Saccharomyces cerevisiae S288C: one gene and its partners. Changing the gene in region 1 together with any one later gene gives a genetic interaction. Each region holds a gene or a part of one and is shown on either strand. Other genes may lie near its edges. The genes, in order: YTA7, PSH1, CHD1 and HAL5.

Region 1 (6,656 bases):
CTCTCTCGACAGGAGGGTTTAAAGTGTATGGAGAGGTAGGTCTAATGTTTAACGGGGTTTCATGTCTTTCTATCTCTTGCACTAATTGGATGTTATGCATTTTGGGATGATTGAAAGTATTGGTTCTAACAAAAAATGAGTCACGCACGCACAATCACGATTGAGGATGGAGTCGTATAATATTTTATGAACGGATGCTATATCGATCAGACGGTTGGCACCGTAAAAATAAATGAAAGAAGTTAAAGAAGGGCAAATCAGTCGGATTATGTGATAAGTATGTAATAGACATGTTTGAAAATTAGGAGCATTAAAATATGCTTTTCATCCTACAGTTGTTCGGTCTTTTTTCTTTTCGGTGAGCGACACAGCTTTTCTACTAAGGCCGTACCGGGTCATCCAAATCCTAAATTTTCATGCGCTAATAGCGTTGAGGCTGGGTGATAATTCTGCCTACACCATGACAAAGAGGACATATATCTTCGTCCAACAGGAATCTGGTGCGTCCGGACCCTCTGCATTCACCACATAGCACGCCACCCAGGCGAGGATCCCCTGGTTGAACGTACAAGGGCCTATTACCCTGCCATGCGTTGGTGTACACGGGCATTGTATAGTTTGTGTAATATGTCGGTGCAGAAACAACGTTATTTTGAGGTGCAAACCTCCTCCAACACGACTTGCAAGATCGTCCATTCTTCAACTTGTAACCCGTATTTCCACACTTGGAACAGTAAAACCTGGGAGGGTATGTCCAGGGCAAGCTAGGATTCTGTTGTGGCCTCGGTGGAGGCCGTGGTTGGGAACTTGTAGGCGTATAAGAGTGTGAGTGAGCATATGTTTGGGATGAGGACGTTGCTGGCATTGTCGAGGGCCTTTGGTGGGGTCTTGATTGGTGCCCTTGCGCCAAGTTAGCTGCTGGTCTTGGTGGTCGTGGCGGTTGAGATTGCAATCTCTCCTCTTCCTTGATTACGTCCTCGTAGCTCGGCAGTTCATCATCATGCGTGTCTTTAGACATAACAGTATGGTTTATACTCGTTTTATGGGTATTTTTTGGGACTGCTTAGTTCTTGACTTGAAGCCTCTTTATTCCCTTGATGGAAGTGTCACTATTAAAGATGGAGGCGGAGGCTATACCGTAGAAAATGATATGTTTGTATGTTCTGCTCTCTTCCCTCTATTAAAAGGGGGAAAGAGAAAAATAAATGGAAAAAAGCGATTAAGCCATAGGGAAAACACTCTTGTGGTGGCAAAGCATCAGATAGGCAGGCAGGAGGAAATGGCAGTGAAGTGTCAAACCAAGCATACTTTCACTGGATTGATTTGAAAGTTAATGCTGAGTTTGAGATGTTTTAAAGAGGAACTGTGGTGATCGGTTATTTCTATTCGCTTTTGTGTGCGTCTTTTCATCGTTTGCAGCTGAACTTGTTGAGGCATTAGCCGCTGAGGAATTTTTTTCTGCCTCTATAAACTTGTTTATTATCACTAAAAACGTACCGTCTGTTATTTTGTACGGCCATGTGTGCGAAAAAGGACAAAGTGGTAGCGAAAGAGCAATATTGGGACGAAAAGGAGCAGAAAAGGAACTGCGTAGGGTCTTAAATAAAGCAAAACGTCTGAAGGATCTTGCGTACTCCTTACTAACCCATTGTTGTTTTCGACAGTCATAAAAAGAAGTTACCACGGTCTATTTCTCTCTTCTCGCTATTTATTCACAATTGGTGCAGAAAGAACATGGCACGAAATTTAAGGAATAGACGCGGTAGCGACGTTGAAGATGCAAGCAACGCAAAGGTTGGGTATGAAACACAGATTAAAGACGAAAATGGCATAATCCATACAACAACTCGCTCTTTGAGAAAAATAAACTACGCAGAAATTGAGAAAGTGTTTGATTTTTTGGAAGATGACCAGGTCATGGACAAAGATGAGACGCCCGTTGATGTTACTAGTGATGAACATCATAACAACAACCAGAAAGGCGATGATGAAGACGATGATGTTGATCTTGTATCACCGCACGAAAACGCCAGAACGAACGAAGAGCTTACTAATGAAAGGAACTTGAGAAAAAGAAAAGCGCATGATCCAGAAGAAGATGACGAAAGTTTTCATGAGGAAGATGTCGACGATGATGAAGAGGAGGAAGAAGCAGACGAATTTGAAGATGAGTATTTGGATGAAGACTCGAAGGATAACAACCGTCGGCGCAGAGCGGCCGATAGGAAATTTGTAGTACCAGACCCTGATGACGATGAAGAATACGATGAGGATGACGAAGAAGGAGACAGAATAAGCCATTCGGCTTCTTCTAAACGTTTGAAAAGGGCAAATTCTCGAAGAACAAGATCGTCACGTCACCCAGAAACTCCACCACCGGTAAGAAGAGCTTTAAGAAGTAGGACAAGACATTCGCGTACTTCAAATGAAGAAAATGACGATGAGAATGATAATAGCAGGAATGAAGCGTTAACTTTAGCTGATGAAATTAGAGAGTTACAGGAAGATAGTCCTATCAGGGAAAAAAGATTTCTTCGCGAAAGAACTAAGCCGGTAAATTACAAATTACCACCACCACTAACTGCTAGCAACGCAGAAGAATTTATAGATAAGAATAACAATGCACTTTCTTTTCATAACCCATCACCTGCACGGCGTGGTCGCGGTGGTTGGAATGCTAGTCAAAATTCTGGTCCCACAAGAAGGCTTTTTCCCACTGGTGGACCTTTTGGTGGCAATGACGTAACTACAATATTTGGTAAGAATACTAATTTTTACAACCAAGTCCCATCTGCATTCAGTGATAATAACAACAATAAATTAATACTGGATTCAGACTCTTCCGATGATGAGATATTACCTCTTGGCGTGACACCGAAAACAAAGAAAGAGAACACGCAAAAAAAGAAGAAGAAAAAACCAGAAATTGCAGACCTCGATCCATTAGGCGTAGACATGAATGTAAATTTTGACGATATAGGTGGTTTAGACAACTACATTGACCAATTAAAGGAAATGGTGGCCTTACCACTATTATACCCAGAATTGTATCAAAATTTTAATATCACGCCCCCAAGGGGTGTTCTTTTCCATGGTCCTCCTGGTACGGGTAAAACACTTATGGCAAGAGCGTTAGCAGCAAGTTGTTCTTCTGATGAAAGGAAGATCACATTTTTTATGCGTAAAGGTGCAGATATTTTATCCAAGTGGGTTGGTGAAGCTGAAAGACAACTCCGTTTGTTATTCGAAGAAGCTAAAAAACATCAACCTTCCATCATTTTTTTTGATGAAATCGACGGATTAGCGCCTGTGAGAAGTTCCAAACAAGAACAGATCCATGCTAGTATTGTTTCCACATTATTAGCGCTGATGGATGGTATGGACAATAGAGGCCAAGTCATTGTCATCGGAGCCACAAATCGACCCGATGCAGTGGATCCCGCATTAAGAAGGCCGGGAAGATTTGATAGAGAATTTTATTTTCCATTACCTGATGTTAAAGCACGTTTTAAAATTTTGCAAATTCAGACCAGGAAATGGAGTTCACCGTTGTCAACCAACTTCATTGATAAATTGGCTTTTTTGACCAAAGGATATGGTGGTGCTGATCTGAGGTCCCTATGCACTGAGGCTGCACTAATAAGTATACAAAGAAGCTTTCCTCAAATTTATAGGTCAAATGATAAACTCTTGGTGGACCCTTCTAAGATTAAAGTCAAAGTTAGCGATTTCATGTTAGCTTTGAAAAAAATTGTTCCGTCATCTGCGAGATCTACTGGTAGTTCTCCTCAGCCACTACCTGAATTAATCAAACCATTACTGGCAGATCAACTTAATAATTTAAAGAACAAGCTGGATTATATGCTGAACATTAAAGACACAACTTTTCAGAGAAACACATCATTGCTACAAAATTTCATCGATTATGAAGAATACAGTGGAGAGGAAGAAGAGCATGACAAATATGGAGGAAATGAAGATACATCCAGTTTTAGATCATATGAGTTTTTCGAATCGATGGCGGAATCACAAATTTGTAAACCTCGGTTATTAATAAATGGGCCCAAGGGAAATGGTCAACAATATGTCGGAGCCGCAATTTTAAATTATTTAGAAGAATTCAACGTCCAAAACCTGGACCTTGCCTCTTTGGTTTCGGAAAGTTCTAGGACTATTGAAGCTGCTGTAGTGCAAAGTTTTATGGAAGCAAAGAAAAGACAGCCCTCAGTTGTATTTATTCCTAATTTAGACATTTGGATCAACACTATTCCAGAAAACGTTATTTTAGTCTTATCAGGTTTGTTCAGATCTTTACAAAGCAATGAAAAAATTCTTCTATTATGCTTAGCTGAAAATCTTGATATATCTGAAGTTAAAAATGGTATTTTATCTGATTTTGCTTTTGATAAAAATATCTTTCAACTGCATAAACCATCCAAAGAGAATATAACGAGGTATTTTTCTAATTTAATTGAACTACTGAAAACAAAGCCAAGTGATATTCCCATGAAAAAGAGAAGAGTCAAACCGTTACCTGAATTACAAAAAGTAACTTCAAACGCAGCTCCAACAAATTTTGATGAAAATGGTGAGCCACTGTCTGAAAAAGTGGTATTAAGAAGGAAGTTGAAATCTTTTCAACACCAAGATATGAGATTGAAAAATGTGTTAAAAATCAAACTCTCAGGCTTGATGGATCTTTTTAAAAACAGATATAAAAGGTTTAGAAAACCACCTATTGATGATGCCTTCTTGGTTCATCTTTTCGAACCAGAGACAAGCAATGATCCCAATTGGCAACCTGCATATATAAAAGATGAGAACATGATTCTGGAGGTTTCAACAGGGCGAAAGTTTTTTAACATGGATTTGGATATTGTCGAAGAGAGACTTTGGAATGGCTATTACTCAGAACCAAAACAGTTTTTAAAAGACATTGAACTGATATACAGGGATGCAAATACCATTGGGGACAGAGAACGTGTCATTAAGGCCTCTGAGATGTTTGCCAACGCGCAAATGGGTATCGAAGAAATTTCAACCCCGGATTTTATTCAAGAGTGTAAAGCTACTCGCCAAAGGGATTTGGAAAGGCAGGAACTTTTCTTAGAAGATGAAGAGAAAAGAGCTGCAATGGAATTAGAAGCCAAAGAACAGAGTCAAGAAAATATACTGCAAGAACCTGATTTAAAGGATAACAAGGCTAATGAGTTTGGTGTAGCTGCTGGTAATCAATTGCAAGCTCAGCTGCAAACAACTATCAATACAGCCTCTATCGTTAATAACAGCGAGGTCCCTCAACCAATTGATACCAACCTGTATAAAAAGGAGATTCCTGCGGCAATTCCCTCTGCAGTAGATAAAGAAAAAGCGGTCATCCCTGAGGATAGCGGTGCAAATGAAGAATACACAACGGAACTGATACAGGCCACTTGCACGTCAGAGATAACCACCGATGATGATGAAAGGGCCAGAAAAGAACCAAAAGAGAATGAAGACTCTTTGCAAACGCAGGTTACGGAAGAAAACTTCAGCAAAATAGACGCTAATACTAATAATATAAATCACGTAAAGGAAATTCAATCGGTTAACAAACCAAATTCCCTCCACGAAACGGTAGAAAAAAGGGAACGAAGTCCGATACCAAAAGAGGTTGTGGAACCGGAGCAAGGGAAGAAGAGCGACAAGGAGCTTATTTTGACGCCCGAACAAATAAAAAAAGTATCTGCATGCTTAATCGAACACTGTCAGAATTTTACGGTTTCTCAATTAGAAGATGTTCATTCGTCCGTTGCAAAAATAATATGGAAAAGTAAATCAGCATGGGATAAAACAGGAACTGTCGATGAAATAATAAAATTTTTATCTGAATAAGCAGGAGTCCATAATGTTTATATAATTCTTAAATGTAGTTAGTTCATATACATGAATGTGCACTTTTCTTGAAAAGAAATAGATTTAAAACCACACCTTGTATATATATTATGCTTTTTTCCACTACTTTATTTTAACAGTCACTGTTCTGGCATACGTTTCGGGTAATGACCGAGAATGGAATATGTATTGAACATATTGAAATTAAACATGTTCATAATATCTTCTAACACCATTGGAATTGTGAGAAGTAGATCCGTACCATCAATAGCCGGCTCAAGATGTCAACTGAATACTCTGCTGATTCATCTAAATCATTTATGATTGCAATGCAATCTATGATTGATACTTCACAAACCTTTAATCTAGATAGATCGAAAATCTCTTTACCAGATTTTGATGACGAGCTAAAAAAAGTCCAAAAGGATGAACAAAATCAAAGAACTGAACTAACTGTTCTCTCACAAGATAGAAATGATTGGGATGATATATTTGAGGAGTTTAAAGACATTTCATTTGCTCAACTGCAATCTATAATTGATTCATACAAAACAAAGAATGCAGTTGCAGTATATAAAAAAATTGGAAAACTAATCAATGAAGCTGAAACGACACTAAGCAGCAATGTATTATTAGAAACTGTACTGCAAATGGTTTATAAACATCAAAAGCAAGAGTTAGAGAAAGAATTGTTGGATTTTTTAGGAACAGGGAATATAGACCTTGTTTCTCTGTTACTTCAGCATAGAAGAATGATCGTTGCTACACCTATAGAAACGACG
Region 2 (3,617 bases), on another chromosome or scaffold:
AAACAACCTTATAACAAAACGAATAGAATGAGCAACATGAGATAAAACTCCGCCTCCCGTAGTTGAACCACCCAAACGTATAAATCCCTGAACAATTAGTTTAGATCTGAGATTCCTCGCTTTCATCATTTAGTGTAATTCATATTTTATATGATATATAGAATAAGCAACATCCCATGAATCAAGCTGATAATCCGTTTTGGCAACTGATTACTTCCCAAAGACTCCTTATATTAGGATTGTCTAGACACCCCGGTATTACTCGAGCCCTAATACAACAGTAAAAGTTTGTAAATATATAGAATTAATTGGTCACAATTGTTTGATGCTCCCCTTTCAATTAACGAATATCTATTGACTGGTATTTATATTACTATTATATTATCATATAAGACGTGACAAGATGACATAAAGACTAAGAAACAGTCATTAGATTCATATGAAAGCTAAATGCAAGGATAAATATTGTAATAAGATAATAAGGGCCTGCACATAAAAATGGGAAGAATAAAAAGAATAGTAATAATAATAATGATGATGACGATGATGATGATGATGATGATGATGATGATGATGATTATGATTACAATGTATTTGATAATATACTAGTATCACGAATATTACTAAATGGATGACACTCTAGAGTTTCATCTGAATAATTACCAAATTATTCACCTATCTCTTAGTAGTATACCTATTTTTTCGTTTAATTAGTGTCCTTATTGGCTTTAAAGTAATTAATGCAGATGGTTCATGGCATACAAAAAATACTTTGTTTCGTTTGTTTTTTTTTTCTTTTTGTTATGATTTTATTAGCCTAATAATGTCCTAGAGTTAACAAATGTAAATTGTAAGAGGATACATTACATCTACAAAAATTAAAACCAGTTAACTCTCTATCCTCATCCTTTTAATTTTGTTGAATAAGAGGCAACCATAAAGGTTAAGAAATAGCATCAGATGTAATGGAAGCTGAAAAATGCAATGATTGATTATTCAATAATAGTGAATAACGGCGTGTAAATGAATAAGAAATGGTAATAATAATACTGATGCCTTTTTATGGATTCCTATATCCTTGTGGAAAACCTCTTGAATACTGGGTGAATAATTTGATAATTGTTGTCATTCCATTGTTGGTGAAGGCTATAATATTATGTATACAGATTATAATAGAAATTTTCCTCGAGGATATAGGAATCCTCAAAAAGGAATCTATATTTCTACATACTAATATTACGAATATTCCCAATTCCGTTTTATACATTTCATTATCCTATTACATTATTAGTCCTTGCATTTCGCTTCAATCAATCTAACTGTTTCCCAATCTTTATGTTATCTTCTTACACTGCATGTGATAATATACTAGTAACACGAATACTACTAAAAAGATGATATTTTAAAGTTTCATTCCAACACCTCTAACATGTTCTATATACCTAATATTAAACCTTTATTAATAATGGAATCTCAACAATTGTCTCAAAATTCTCCCATTTCTCACAATCTTGTGCATTGAGAACTGTGCATCATTAAGTTTCTAAAATTTAGATCTTTCATAAAATATTAGACTCCATGGCCAAGTTGGTTAAGGCGTGCGACTGTTAATCGCAAGATCGTGAGTTCAACCCTCACTGGGGTCGTTATTTTTGAATACCCAATACTTTTTTTTCGGGCCATTTCACACAATGGCGTTTTTTATCCTATGTCCACTACAATTTAGATGAGCTCTCTTCTAGCATACAACTGCGATGAGGAATTTGATAATATTCTATTTTAAGCATTAAGTTTTCAGAAAACGAACGATCGCGTTTTTTCTCAGACAGAAAGTTTTAATATATTGATAAGAATAATGGGCGACGAATTACACAACCGTTTACTTCACCAAAACGATGGCACCAAGGACGCCATACTTTATAAGATAATAGAATCGTTAGTTTGCTCCATCTGCCACGATTATATGTTTGTACCGATGATGACACCTTGTGGTCATAATTATTGCTATGGTTGTCTGAACACCTGGTTTGCCAGCAATACTCAAAAAGAATTGGCTTGTCCGCAGTGCAGATCTGATATTACCACCATTCCCGCATTGAATACAACGTTGCAACAGTATCTATCATTCATTTTAGAGAAATTAAGGGACCAGAATGATGAATCTTTTAAAAAACTTTTAACAACTAAAACCAAGGAGGAAAATGATTACAAGAATGACAAGGAAAAGGACACATTGTTTGACAAAGTATTTAAGAATAGCGCATTGGCAGTGGCCGACGACTCGGATGATGGTATCACACGTTGTAGTAATTGTCATTGGGAATTAGACCCAGACGAAGTAGAGGACGGAAATGTTTGTCCCCACTGCAATGCCAGAATACGGAATTACGCAGGTGGTCGCGACGAATTTGATGAAGAAGAATACAGTGAAGGAGAGTTGGATGAAATCCGGGAAAGCATGCGTAGGCGTAGAGAGAATCGATTTGCGTCTACCAATCCGTTTGCTAATAGAGATGATGTAAGTTCTGAAGACGATGATAGCAGTGAAGAGGAGCCCATGCGAGAACATATCCCACTAGGCCGTTGGGCCAGGTCACATAATCGTAGTATTGCTGTGGATGCTGTGGATGATGAAGACGACGAAGAAGAGGATGAGGAAGAAGAAGAGGAGATGGATTCCGATTTGAAAGATTTTATAGAGGATGATGAAGATGACGAAGATGAAGATGGAAGTAGGAGGAATTTGGTATTGTCTGCACTCAAGAACAGACATGTAATTATTACTGATGATGAGGAAGAGGAGCAACGGCGACATGCTACAGAAGAGGAAGATCGCGATAGTGACTTTTACGAGCATAATGATGATGGTTTTGTAAGTGGTGATAGCCTTGATGAGGATCAGAAGGAGGTTACACGGATACAATCGAGTTCTGATTCCGAAGATCGTTCACTTTCGTATTCCGGCTCCAGCGATGTCAAGGATAACAATGACGATAACACGGAAGAATTAGATGACCCACAACCGAAAAGGCAGAAACGCTTCCGTGTAGTTCTAGGAGACAGTGACGATGAATAATCTGAACATTTTAACTAGCGGGAACGGCATATGTACGGAACTTTTATGTATGTTTTTAAAAAATTTCCTTTCTATCCTTATTACATTAAGATTTTTAAGCGATAGTAGGATCGGAAATATAAGCACTCGTTTATGATATAAATAGGTCAAGAATTTCGTAAAGTAAAATCAATACATATGTGAATCTTTTTTTTTTTTTTTTTGGGACTGCTATTGGTATTTTTTTAGCGTCACGTTAATCAGCCCAATTATGTGGGGGTTATGCAAGAAGCATTTTCCGAGCAATAAAATTCAAGTGCAGGAGAGAAACAAAGCATTAAAACCAAAGAAGAGTGGCAGCGAACATAAGACAAAGCAACTGTTTCCTGTATTCAATTGCAAGAAGAAGGAAAAAGGGGTAATGATACGGTTTGCGATTCTACGTAATGCTAACACATCTCTACTGTCCGCGAGAAGTATATGCTTATTTACCCAGGCGCCTACCTATTGTCATGTAAGGTTGAATACCTTGAATAAAAGCATTACAACTAAAAGAAATTCA
Region 3 (7,140 bases), on another chromosome or scaffold:
ATTGAATAAAAAGCCAGATATTAGGTGGTGGTACCAGGGCCTGCTCTATGCTTCAAACGGTTATTAAGTAAAAATGTTACTTCGTAGCTCACTGTCCTAAAAATACAAAATCAAAACTAAAGAATTTTACACAAGAAAGAAGAGATATAAAATACAAGATGACACTTTCTATTAAGTAAAACAGAAACCTCTTTCCTTGGAACTGGAGCGAAAGAGAACAATTGTCCCAGAACTTGCGATGGTGATGGCAAAAAGCGCAAAAAAAATTTTCTTTGTAAAAAGGAAAGAGAAAAAAAAAAAGAAATAATCTTCGATTAACAGTTTTCGTTAAACATGATTGATCTATCTGCTTTGTGGCTTCATACAGTATGACCTCTTATATGGTCATAGTAGTAACTAATTAAGCATTATTACTTTACGGTGCCCTATAGTACACACACTTACACGCAAATATATATACATAAATACGTTTATAGTTATGGGGGGAAGGAACAATGGAAAATGTGGTGAAGAAAAATTGTTTCACTTCTTTTGAGACTCTGTTATCTTGTCGTACATTGCCATCAGCTTTGTACTCTTAACGTCGGCAGGCCAAAAGTTGGCACTGTAAGACCAAAGGTGCTTGCGATATTTTTCTGGGCTTGCCTTTCTCGATGAGCCCTTTTGCGATTCGATATGATTACCAATCGTAGTTAATTCGGTCTTCAAAATTTTGGCCCATTCCTTACGATCAAGACTTTTGCCGCCTCTTCTAAGTCGCTTCAAAGAAGTACGTATTGCACTCATTGTGTGTCGACAGTCTTCTTCATCCATGCTGTCATATTCTTTTTCGTGAGCGCTGCCGCTACTGGGGTTGCTTGATTGCCTTGTACCATTATCTCTGGAAACCTTGGACTTTAATGGGGGCGTGGGGCTGTTTGGAGACAATCTCGTGTTATTTATTAAGGCGGCAGGACCTTTTGGGAGGGCTTTCATACGTTTGCTTGGCGGGCCATTTGCAGGCTCAGAACTTGTAATTTCTGGAGTCATGGATTTGCTGTGATTAGCAGGTTTTCTTTGTCTCTTTTTGGAAGGACCAGTAGGGAGTTTTTTCGAGCCTATGTCAGCACTGGGACTCTTTGTATTTAGGCCTCCTCTTAAGAAGGATAATAGATAATCAACTCTTCTGCCCAAGTGAATGGCACCAGGTACTTTTTTTGAAGAACCCGTTATTCCCTTTCCTTTCTTTGAGGGTGTTGGTGTTGTATCAGAGGAGCTTGCCGACTTTTTTGCTACCGGATTGTGAACTTCATTCAAGAATATTTTATCAGTAATGCCTAGAAATGGATCGTCTCTTATTTGTGTCCAGGAACCATATCCATATTTGAAAACACCAATCAATAGCTTCTCATCTTCCTCTTTCGTCCAATTAGATGACCAATTCTGTACAGGCTTAGGTGTGTTGTTGCCTAGGCTAAACTTTAATGGATCATCTTTGTAGTTTGAATTTATCAAGTTCTTCAAGTACTTTAAATCCTCCACTCTACTTAGTAAAGATTCGGCGTTTAAAGATTTAACACCTTTAAAGTTGAAAAGGACGGCTTTCTTTTCTCTTTTTTTTAAAGATAATCTAGTCAACGGATTATCCTTTGGTTGGTTCTCTGCTTTTATTTCACCGCTTTTTAGCTTTGCTCTATAGGCGGTAGCATGCTTCTCAAGTTTCTCCAAGATTTCTTTTCTATTTTTCTCTTCCTCGTGTACACAGTCTTTAGCTGCTTCCATCATTTCATCGTAAGTTTCACCGTATTTTTCAAATGATTTGACCGGCAGGGTTCCATCTGCAATCAACTCGTCCAAAATCTCCTTTAGGTTGCCAAATTTTAAAATAGCTTTATACAAAGCTCTCACCTCCGATTCACCAATAGAGTCCATGTCATTAGCTCTTGCTCTTCTTCTAGAAGATCTGGAAGTACTATCGTCGTCAGAATCTGAGTTTGCGGCGGTCCCATCACCATTAACACTGTTTTTTATTTTTTTTAGGGCGTTATCCCTTCTATTCATCATTTCAAGTTGTTCTTTAACATATTCTTCATCCTTGCGTTTCTGCTCTTCATCTTGGAGTTTTTTTAGTTCTTCTTCTGGAATGATATCATCCCAATCTATATCAGCTTTATAATCAGTCACTTCGAATTGCTTCAAAAACTCTTCACCGCCAAGATGCGACTCTCCTAAGTCTGGAGTAGTAACGTGATCCTCTGCATGATTCAAAACATCATCCAAGTTAAGATCCTCCAATTTTTTCTGGTTGTCTGTGGCAGTGAACATATTGCCTGCACCGAACTTCAGGATTGCCGATAATTCACCGGCATTTGGTTCATTCTTCTTAGTGTATTTGTTACCATCTGTCACTCCAAGAGAAATAATAGCATATTCCAGAATCATTTTCTTCCGTGCTCTTTCTAATACCTCTTCCTCTACTGTGTCTTTTGAAACCAACCTATACACCATAACGTGATTTTTTTGGCCAATACGATGAGCTCTAGCCATTGCTTGTAAATCGGCTTGCGGATTCCAATCGGAATCAAAAATCACAACGGTATCGGCGGTCATTAAGTTGATACCCAAACCACCAGCACGAGTAGAAAGTAAAAATACGAAGTCGTTTGAATCCGGAGAGTTGAAATGATCAATAGATATCCTTCTTTGAGCAGATGGTACTGTACCATCTAACCTTTGGAAGTTAATACCTTTAATGGATAAATAGTCGCCTAAAATGTCAAGCATTCTGACCATTTGTGAAAAAATCAACACGCGGTGCCCATCTTTCTTCAATCTGGTCAATAATTGGTCTAAAAGAACCATCTTACCCGAAGACATGATCAAACCTCTTAGTACGTTTTCTCGAGTCATTTTACCATCCCCAAATTTCTGTAAGACGCGCTCTTCAGCATTATCGAAGAGATATGGATGGTTCGATGCCTTTTTCAACTCGTTCATAATATTCAGTAAAGAGAAATGACCCCCTTTAGCTCCAGCAGTTAAAGCAGAGTAGTTTTTAGTCAGAATATTTTTATAGTACTCAGTCTGTACGTCGGACAATTCAACTCTTAAAATACGCTCTGTCTTTGATGGAAGTGATTTTTCTACGTCTTTCTTCAACCGACGAAGAATAAAAGGCTGTATTCTTCGGTGTAAATCATGAATATATTCTTCTTGCTCTTCATCTTGGTTTTCAAAATCAATCTCCTGATCAATCGTAAACCTTCCGGGCATTAGGAAATTAACCAACGCAGCTAACTCTTTAATATTATTCTGAAGAGGTGTGCCTGTGATTAACATACGGTTGGCGACCTTGAAACTGTTTAATGATTCATAAAGGGATGATTCAGCATTTTTTAGTCTATGAGCTTCGTCAACGGCCATAAATTGCCATTTTATACTTCCTAATTCAGCACGATCCTTTAAGATGTACTCGTATGTTGTTAATAAAACATTAAATTTCATTGTTTTTTTCCCTTTTGCCCTTGGATTGGTGTAAAATTCATATTCTCGAATGGTATCTCTTGATTTTTGGTTGCCCATATAGCATATACAATTCAAATCAGGCGCCCATTTCTCAAAAGTATCCAACCAGGCAGGCATTGTCGATAAAGGAACGACAATGATGTGAGGTCCGTTTTGTCTACGAGCAAATATCAGCCAACTGATAAAGGCGACAGTCTGGACCGTTTTTCCCAGGCCCATCTCATCTGCCAGTATACCATTATCACCTTTGGACCACAAAAATGCCATCCAATTAATACCAGTTAGTTGAAAATCTCTTAATTCCCCACCTTTAATGAACGGAGGTTGCACGCTTAACTTCTCAAAACGCGGTCTCTGTGAAGTATAATTACTGGAATATTGTGGGAGGATCTTAGAGTTTTCTCTGTTTTGAAAATGTTTCACTTGTTCAGGTGCCAATTTCACGATATCTGTGGCATTCTCCCAAGTAGCCTCGTCGTAATTTAGACGACGCCATTTAACTAAATACTGTAATTGTGAGGTGCCGTCTTCCAACGAAGCACGTTGGCTATCAATAATCCTTTCTGGCACGTGGAACTCCTCAAATTCATCAAGCCTACGTTCACGTTCCATGTCCATGATCTCTATATCTTCGGCGGTAACGTATGGATCTAATCTTACTTGTTGATCTTCGATGATGAATTGCTTACAATAGTTGTCCAACCTCTTCAATCCACGGACTTGGCCAATGGATTCATAAGTTTCCCAGGTATTGTGGAGATGAGATTCATCTGTCCATTTGATTAAGAATTCATAATTTTCCTTGCAGTTATTGAGGTCAGGAACAGTCTTTTCCAAGACCTTTCCTTCTTCCAAAGATGTCTTTAGTCTGTGATTGATAACAATATCAATACCGTGGAAGTCCTCTGGTTGAGGATTGGCAGATGCTTCATGCACATTTTCCTCTGATAAAGCCTCCTCGGAACCATAGTCATCTTCAGATTCTAAGAGGTCATCATCGCTATAATCGATGTTATAATTTACCGTTTTGTTTTGACGATTAGAAAACCTTGTTGGTATTTTCACTGTAGATTGCTTTTCAGATTGAGATTTTGGCTTAGATTTAGACTTTGATTTTGTTCTTGATTTCGGTTTTGATCGATTTTGTTTTATAGGAGAGCCATAATAATCATCATCTTCTTCAAAATCTTCCTCATCTTCGTCCTCTCCAGAATCTTCTTCGCCTTCTTCATCTTCAAATTCGTCTTCGTCGTCTTCAATCGTGGTCATTCTCTTCCTCCTCGACTGTTTAATATTATCTTCATCGTCCTCATCATCGCTATCGTTGAAGTAGTTTTGTTGATGCGCAGCAGCTCTATGTGACCGCCTCAGCCCATATAGTTCAGGATTTTGCAGCACTTCAGTAGAAATATCCTTGGCTGCCATTATAAGTGAGAATTAAATTAGAAAAGGTTCTGCTTTGAATTGGGTATAGGTTTAAAGAAATAACGGAAAAGTCTTGAAGCAAATGAAAAATAAAAACCTTTGAGAAACTTTGTCGTTAGTGAATAGGTAAGCTAGTGGAACTCAAGTACGAATTAAAGAAAATGATGGTCGATGTTTAGGCTTATTCAATTTTCTCCTTTGGAAGAAACAAGTATGTGTATATTCACAAAAGAAGTAACGGAAAAGAGAAGGTGACTTCTGCAAGCTTGCTTATCTTGACTTGATAACCCCAAACTTTTATCAACTTGACTTAGATGTCCGGACAAGAATACGATAGTACTAACCAGATATAATGAGGACAAGATTCTTCTACACAATGTTTCTCGTGGTACAGTTTCGAAATTGAAAAGAAGGAAAGGAAAAAAAGTAAAATTATATAACGAGAGGGTAACAGTATGATAATCGACTACTGAACTATGATCTGTTCGACAAGTGTTGCATATTACATGTCTTTAATGGTATCAATAATTGACATAATCTTATATCAGTAATGATATCAGGAAAGAACTTTGTAATGTTTGGGAACATATGTCCTAGTGTAGGGATGGGATGTGATAAGGATCGTGGGATGTTAAATTTATTCTCTTAGATGAAATTGCCTACACCTTCTGGACGGTTGATAATTAAGTTTTCAACTTTAGCGTGTTTCATTTTCAAAATATTGAAGAAGTGGCCTACCAGTGATATCCAACCGATGCGCGAGCAACACGCAAGCCCTTGGCTTGTGAGCAGCGTTTAGCTGACCGTATTACGCATTGATGGGCTGAGGAAAACATACAGGCAATCATGTCTTTTGATTTTGGCAACGTATGATCTTTTACCGTATATGGGGCAGTAACATATCATCGAAGTAAAAGCTAAAACAAAGAAAGTTAAAAAAAATAAACGTACAACATAGAAGCTTACCTTTCAAGGATATCTCAAAAGTATCAAATATATCACGGTGACTTCGGCCTGCGAAAGAAGATTTTCCTCGAACGGTGAAATACTGAGATGATCCATAAAGTAATGAGAGTGTTCTCGCTTGTATGGTTCGCTGACCTATGCCACCCGTGTTTCTCCATTGCGCAGAGGCTTCCATATTGACCACTACGTAGTGGCAACTTAAAACAATCAAAAATCGTTTTCTTCCTTAGGACTTGACTGCTTCGTCTTAAGATTATTGCCAGAAATTGAAGACAGAAAACATCAGTGAGAGGGGAGGGAGAGAGTGTCGCAACGTATGACCTCTTTTAAAGGCGTATGTCAACCAGCGGTTATCAATAGTTCCCTTGTGTTAAGGGAAGCTTGGAAGTTGTCACCAACACCTAGCAGACTTTTCTTCGACGTCCTCCCTAGTGGTTTATATGAAGAGAATGAGAAAATTTGCCACTCCAGTAATTTTTCCTTTTTTTTTTTTTTGGATTCGCCAAGGAGCGGGATAATTGGTATTCTGGGTAACGCTAAAAGGTAAGGTCAATATTAGCTATGAGTTTAGTCTCGAGGTGATTTAACCTTGGAAGAAGCAATCACGACGTTGGTTTGGGCTTATAAAAAGTTGTATGGCCAAATGACTAATGACAACAGTGGTATCTGGGTCCTAGGCTACGGATCTCTGATTTACAAGCCTCCGTCTCATTACACGCATAGAATACCGGCAATAATTCACGGTTTTGCTCGTCGGTTCTGGCAAAGTTCCACTGATCATAGGGGTACACCTGCAAACCCAGGAAGAGTGGCCACACTAATCCCGTATGAGGATATTATAAGGCAAACTGCCTTCTTGAAGAATGTGAATTTGTATAGTGAAAGTGCACCTATCCAGGATCCCGACGACTTAGTCACCATAGGGGTAGTGTATTATATACCACCAGAACATGCTCAAGAGGTTAGAGAGTATTTGAACGTAAGAGAACAAAACGGGTACACTCTACATGAGGTTGAGGTGCATCTAGAAACTAATCGGGAGCACGAGGCAGAATTGGGTGAAGCATTAGAACAGTTGCCTCGGCACAACAAATCGGGTAAACGGGTACTACTTACTTCGGTGTACATTGGTACAATAGATAATGAGGCCTTCGTCGGACCAGAGACCGTGGATGAAACTGCGAAAGTAATTGCCGTGTCGCATGGACCTAGTGGATCTAACTATGAATACCTTGCAAAACTGGA
Region 4 (5,182 bases), on another chromosome or scaffold:
CAAATAATCAACAAAACACTACACAAAAACTTCTACGATAATGGGTCCTCCAAGCGGTAAAACTTACATGGGATGGTGGGGTCACATGGGTGGTCCAAAGCAAAAAGGTATAACCTCATATGCTGTGTCTCCATATGCTCAAAAGCCATTACAAGGTATTTTCCATAACGCTGTATTCAATAGTTTTAGAAGATTTAAGTCTCAATTTCTATATGTATTAATACCTGCGGGAATTTATTGGTACTGGTGGAAGAACGGTAACGAGTATAATGAATTTCTGTACAGCAAAGCTGGTAGAGAAGAGCTGGAAAGAGTTAATGTTTAATATTGTTTCCATGCCTCTACATTACATCGATCTTTTGATCTTCTAAAAACTTACATATATATTCTGTTTATAAAACAAGAGCAAATAACCCCCATATATTTATTCAGTCAGTCTATTTATTTACTTACAGTATCAGTAATAATAAATACTTAAGCATTTTTTGTTTTGTATATCTTTATTTACTAACCTTGGTATGTAAGTGTCTATAAACTACACAGCATTTTGTTTTCCTCATCCAGGAGCTTTGTAGTAATTGTTCAATGGTGATTCTCTTCGTGGGGTCGACCTGGAACGTTCTATATAGTGCAATTTTCCTCAACCTATTCAGTTCGCTACTAACATGTCTTAATTCCTCAAATAGATAAAACTGTCCATCATCTTTAATTTCACTGAGAAATGATTTAAAAAGAGAATCCTTTTCAGGAATGGCGATTTTCCAAAGATACTGTCCCATGACCATTGTACAGTAAACAATACCACAACTCCAACAATCTACCAGACGCGGATCGTATTCTGCATCCCTTATAAATTCTTCAGGTGCCACATATGGCTCTGAACCCATGGCTCCACTCTGGAAGTGGACGTGTTTCTCCCAGGCAGTCTGAAAAACTGAACTAGTACCAAAATCACAAATTTTTAACAACCCATTAGGTTGGAAAAGGATATTTTCGGGTTTCAAATCACAGTGTGCTATACCATGATCATGCATGTATTGAACACCATTCAAAAGCTGTTTCATAAAACAGTCTGCTTCTAATGGGTGCAACGGACTCCCAGAACCTTCTTTAACAGTTTGGATCAATCTTGAACTCCCGTTATTCGATTCATTTGAGATGTTATTCCTTGTTAGCAACGAATATAAATCACCTGAAGCACAAAATTCCATCACTTCTACGAAGGAATTGCTATATTCCATTAGGTCCAAAATTTTCAAAATGTTTGGGGCATTGAAGACATGTTTTGGTGGAGTGGTTCTTGAAACATTTCCTGCTATCATCGCATTTGCCTCAAAATGCGGATGGCTCAGTGAGTGTCCAATAATGAACTCAGAGGTTAATCTCGTGCAAAATTTATCAATTTGGTCACCTGGCTTGGGCTTCAGCTCTTTGACGGCAAAGAATAGTTTTTTTCCATTAGAGTAGGTACTGTATGGTAGGACATCTTTAGCAGTCTTGCACCTTGCGCAAATTTTGACCACCCCGTATGCACCTGCACCGACGACCCCAATAGATTTTCCGTATTTTTGTGAACAAGGTTTATGAGATGTATCGTCATTGGTTGTTCCTGCCTTGCCCTCTGTGTCATCAGAATCCTCCTGTTTATTGCTATTGCTTCTGCCTTCGCCATTGTTGCCTTTTGTATTTTCACTTTTAAGGCCCTTTCGTATTTTTTCCGATAATGCATTGATTAGCTTCAACTCTTCAACACCTACAGCAGCGTTAGGATTCACGATTTGCGGAATATTTTTACCATCGTTTTTCATCAATTCATCATTATTGCCATTTTTAAGGTTACTCGTTCTCGATTTCTTTAAAGTCTGCGATTTGATGAATCTCTGGGATGGTATTATTGAAAATGCTTTTTCTAGATTGATTTGTTCGCCGTTTTCTTCTTGTTGCTGCTGTTGCTGCTGTTGTTGGTTTCCATCCTTATGAGATTTGAATAATCCACTTAAAGAAAACACAGATTTTTGTTTATGCATATTTGCCTCACTGTCATTGTCACCATCATCGCCGCTGTTTACAGAAGCGTCAGCATCCTTTTCATCGCCACTATCCACATTTTTATTGTTTGTAATAATTGGCAGCACTCTCAAAGAATGTTCGTGGTATCCGTTTTCAAAGACTTTGAAATGACCTAAATCCAAAATACATTTACATTCGATTTCTTGAAATTTCGGTAAGCTGGAAGCACTGATAGAGTCTGAGTGATTTCTTCCCCTCATGTATATTCTATTTCCTGTACCATTACCAACATTGTTGGTGGCATTTGAATTCATTCCACCATTTCCATTTTTCATTGGTGGTGACCTTGGTGTGGACAAACTGTTCTTCCTACTTCTTGTGCGATTGCTATGATTACGTACGCCCAGACTGTTTCTCCTTCTAAGTTTTGATTCTTCGTCATAATCAAGCATAGCATCAATAGAAAAGTTATTTTCCTGATCCAAAACATGGTTGGCATTACTATTTGCAGGGTTTGAAGAACCTGCGTTTTGTGGGAAGTTTTTCAGCCGTTCCCTTGGTTGTCTTTCAACCTCATCGCTACCAACTGTATAGCGGTGATGAGGCACATAAGCTTCCTTGGAACGTACATGTTTTGCACGAGCTTTCTCTTCCTTTTTATTTTGAAGATCCTCTCTCTCTAACAAATTGGCTTCATCTTCATCTTTTTCACTTATGAAAGATTCTTGTGAAAACATTTCATTTTCTGAATTCAAAGATGGTTCCCTACTAGGTGACAACGAGAGTTTTGCAATATTAGGGACGCCCAGTTTGTGATGCTTAGGAGCCGCTTGTAGAACAGGGCTATGTACGGGGGATATAGACGGGGAAGATACGTTGCTAGTTATTATTCTTGCTGTTTGATGAGAATGTGCTTGGTCCTGACCGGGACGAGATGAAGGAGCCGCAGCATTATTACTGCCTGATATCCCTGAAGGCTTAAATAGACCCTTAATGGATTCGGAGAGCGATCTGGCCCTCTTCAAAGATGTGTGGCGTGAAAGCTTCTCATCTCCCATTGTTTTTATTTTTTCAAAATTTTTTTTTTATTTAGCAAGTTTCTCTATCTCCTTTGTATTCTAAAAGTAAATGGATGGAAAGAATGGATCTTTTCGTAGACTATAATGCTTCCTAAAATATACACGTATAGAATGGAGATTCCGACTTGTTTGGAGCCACCAATTGCCCTTTATTTGGTTTATACCAAGGGGCTCACGTAAAAAAAAAATCGATATGCAAAATCCTTCATTTCATGATGCAAGCTTTCGAAAGTGGCGCGGCGAGCAAAGTAGAAAATCAAAGACAGAAGCGTAGAATAAAAGCCCTTTTAATGGTAGGAATACGCCTCGATAACATCATGTATGCAATCTACAAGAACAGTGAACGCCGTTCCATCTCCGTAGTAACTATACAGGGGTTGAAATTTCGTTTTCGAAGGATAGTTGTTATGTAGAAAAGAGGGAAAAAAATATGAAAAAAAAAAAATATAGATACGAGAGGAAAATACAACAAAACATTAGTCATTAGAAGTCCCGGAAAAGATCAGCATATGGGTCTTCACCTTGAACACCGTAGTTGATGTCTTCTTCCGGGTACTTATCGAACTGTGAGGTGTCACCTTGTCCCTGTTGAATGGGCGGTTCATACGGCGTTTCTATGTTTCTAGATAATAATTTTTCCCAGACAACTTCTTTGAACCAGGGGTGGTTTTTGACATCTTCTGTACCATTTTGTAAATTACCTAGTCTTTGACTTAAGTCTCTTGTGATCAATCTACTCAACAGGTCCTTTACATCTTCGTTGAAAAATGGTGGAAATCTCAATTCGGCATTCAAGATTTTCTCATAGGTTTTCATCGTGTTAGAGTCGTAAAATGGCGTGTATCCTGCTAGCATTTCGTAAATCAGAATACCGAAACTCCACCAATCGATAGATTTATTATATGGTTTAGTACTAACGACCTCGGGTGCTATGTAGTCGGGAGTACCGCATAATGTATATGTGACGTCAGGAACGTATTTGGCAAACCCGAAATCTGTTATCTTTATATGCCCGTTTTTATCAAGCAAGATATTTTCCGGTTTCAAATCCCTATAAATAATGTCCTTGCTATGCAAGTACTCCAAAGCTAAACAAACTTCCGCTGCGTAAAATTTAGCAACTGGGTTGGGAAATCTTTGGGATTTCCTTAACAAAGAAAACAATTCTCCACCTTCAATATAATCCATAATCATGAAAATTTGCTGAGCATCTTGGAAAGTCCCCCACATTCTAATAATAAACGGATGTGTTACGATAGAAAGCATCAATCGCTCGTCGTTGGTATGCTCCACCTGTTTCAATCTTACCACGATTTCCTTTTTCAAAACTTTCATGGCGTAGTATCTGCCATTATGTCTTGATCTAATCAAATGGACCCTACCAAAAGAACCCGTACCCAGTGTCCTTAATATCTGAAAGTCTTGTAAACTATACTTCCCACTTGTAACTCTCGCTTGGGCAATAAACTGTTTATACTGCTCCTCATTGTAATAAGTGACATGTGGCTGCTTCGGTTTTTCTTGGGTTTCTCCACCCTCTTTTTCTACAGACTTACTTTCGTTACCGCTCTCTGTGGCTGTTGTTTCCCTTTCACTAGTCTCACCTTTTTGTGATTCCTCACCTTGTCTATCATCTAGAGACTTTTGACCACCTCCATTTTGTTCTTCAGTCGACATACCCAAAAAAAAGATTCTTTCACACAATCAGCTATAATTCATGCACTGCTTAAGCTAAGAGAACACTACTTTCTGTGCTACCTTTGAAGCCGATTGAAAATGCAAGCAAGCCAAACAAAAAAAAAAGTATAGGGTCAGATTCCTTAGCTTTATCAAATTAAAACTCTTAGATGGATACAATCGCAGCTTCTATGATGTTTCGCACCTAAAAATTCTCACGTTTTTCTGGCCAGAGATAGTAGATGAATATTTTTCAAGTTTTCAAGTAAAGGGATACGATATCCCCCTTGATTATTATGTCAAACTTTTACCAGATCCCGCCTTCCCTCCCCCCTAATAGCGCGAAAAAAAAGATCATCATGATTACGTAGAAAAAACCACAACAACACTATGTTGAATCATGTCATAAGCAAAGT

What was found.
Region 2: mutations in YTA7 (region 1) and PSH1 together harm fitness more than expected from each alone (negative genetic interaction), as found in Saccharomyces cerevisiae (3 studies listed by BioGRID).
Region 3: mutations in YTA7 (region 1) and CHD1 together harm fitness more than expected from each alone (negative genetic interaction), as found in Saccharomyces cerevisiae (3 studies listed by BioGRID).
Region 4: mutations in YTA7 (region 1) and HAL5 together harm fitness more than expected from each alone (negative genetic interaction), as found in Saccharomyces cerevisiae (3 studies listed by BioGRID).

The regions. Positions count from the first base shown.
Region 1 is NC_001139.9:1,025,636-1,032,291, forward strand, and holds YTA7 (chromatin segregase YTA7), read left to right. Parts: upstream 1-1,734; coding exon 1,735-5,874; downstream 5,875-6,656. Other genes in the region: FOL2 (GTP cyclohydrolase I), read right to left, coding at 1-100; HUA1 (Hua1p), read right to left, coding at 422-1,018; SLH1 (RNA helicase), read left to right, coding at 6,156-6,656. UniProt on the Saccharomyces cerevisiae protein: Functions as an ATP-dependent nucleosome disassembly factor that helps evict canonical histone H3 from the 5'-end of genes upon their induction.
Region 2 is NC_001147.6:226,759-230,375, forward strand, and holds PSH1 (ubiquitin-protein ligase PSH1), read left to right. Parts: upstream 1-1,855; coding exon 1,856-3,076; downstream 3,077-3,617. Other genes in the region: AIM39 (Aim39p), read left to right, coding at 3,327-3,617.
Region 3 is NC_001137.3:503,181-510,320, reverse strand, and holds CHD1 (chromatin-remodeling ATPase CHD1), read right to left. Parts: upstream 4,930-7,140; coding exon 523-4,929; downstream 1-522. Other genes in the region: GCG1 (gamma-glutamylcyclotransferase), read left to right, coding at 6,539-7,140. UniProt on the Saccharomyces cerevisiae protein: ATP-dependent chromatin-remodeling factor which functions as substrate recognition component of the transcription regulatory histone acetylation (HAT) complexes SAGA and SLIK. It recognizes H3K4me.
Region 4 is NC_001142.9:106,394-111,575, forward strand, and holds HAL5 (protein kinase HAL5), read right to left. Parts: upstream 3,069-5,182; coding exon 501-3,068; downstream 1-500. Other genes in the region: QCR8 (ubiquinol--cytochrome-c reductase subunit 8), read left to right, coding at 41-325; cAMP-dependent protein kinase catalytic subunit TPK1, read right to left, coding at 3,573-4,766.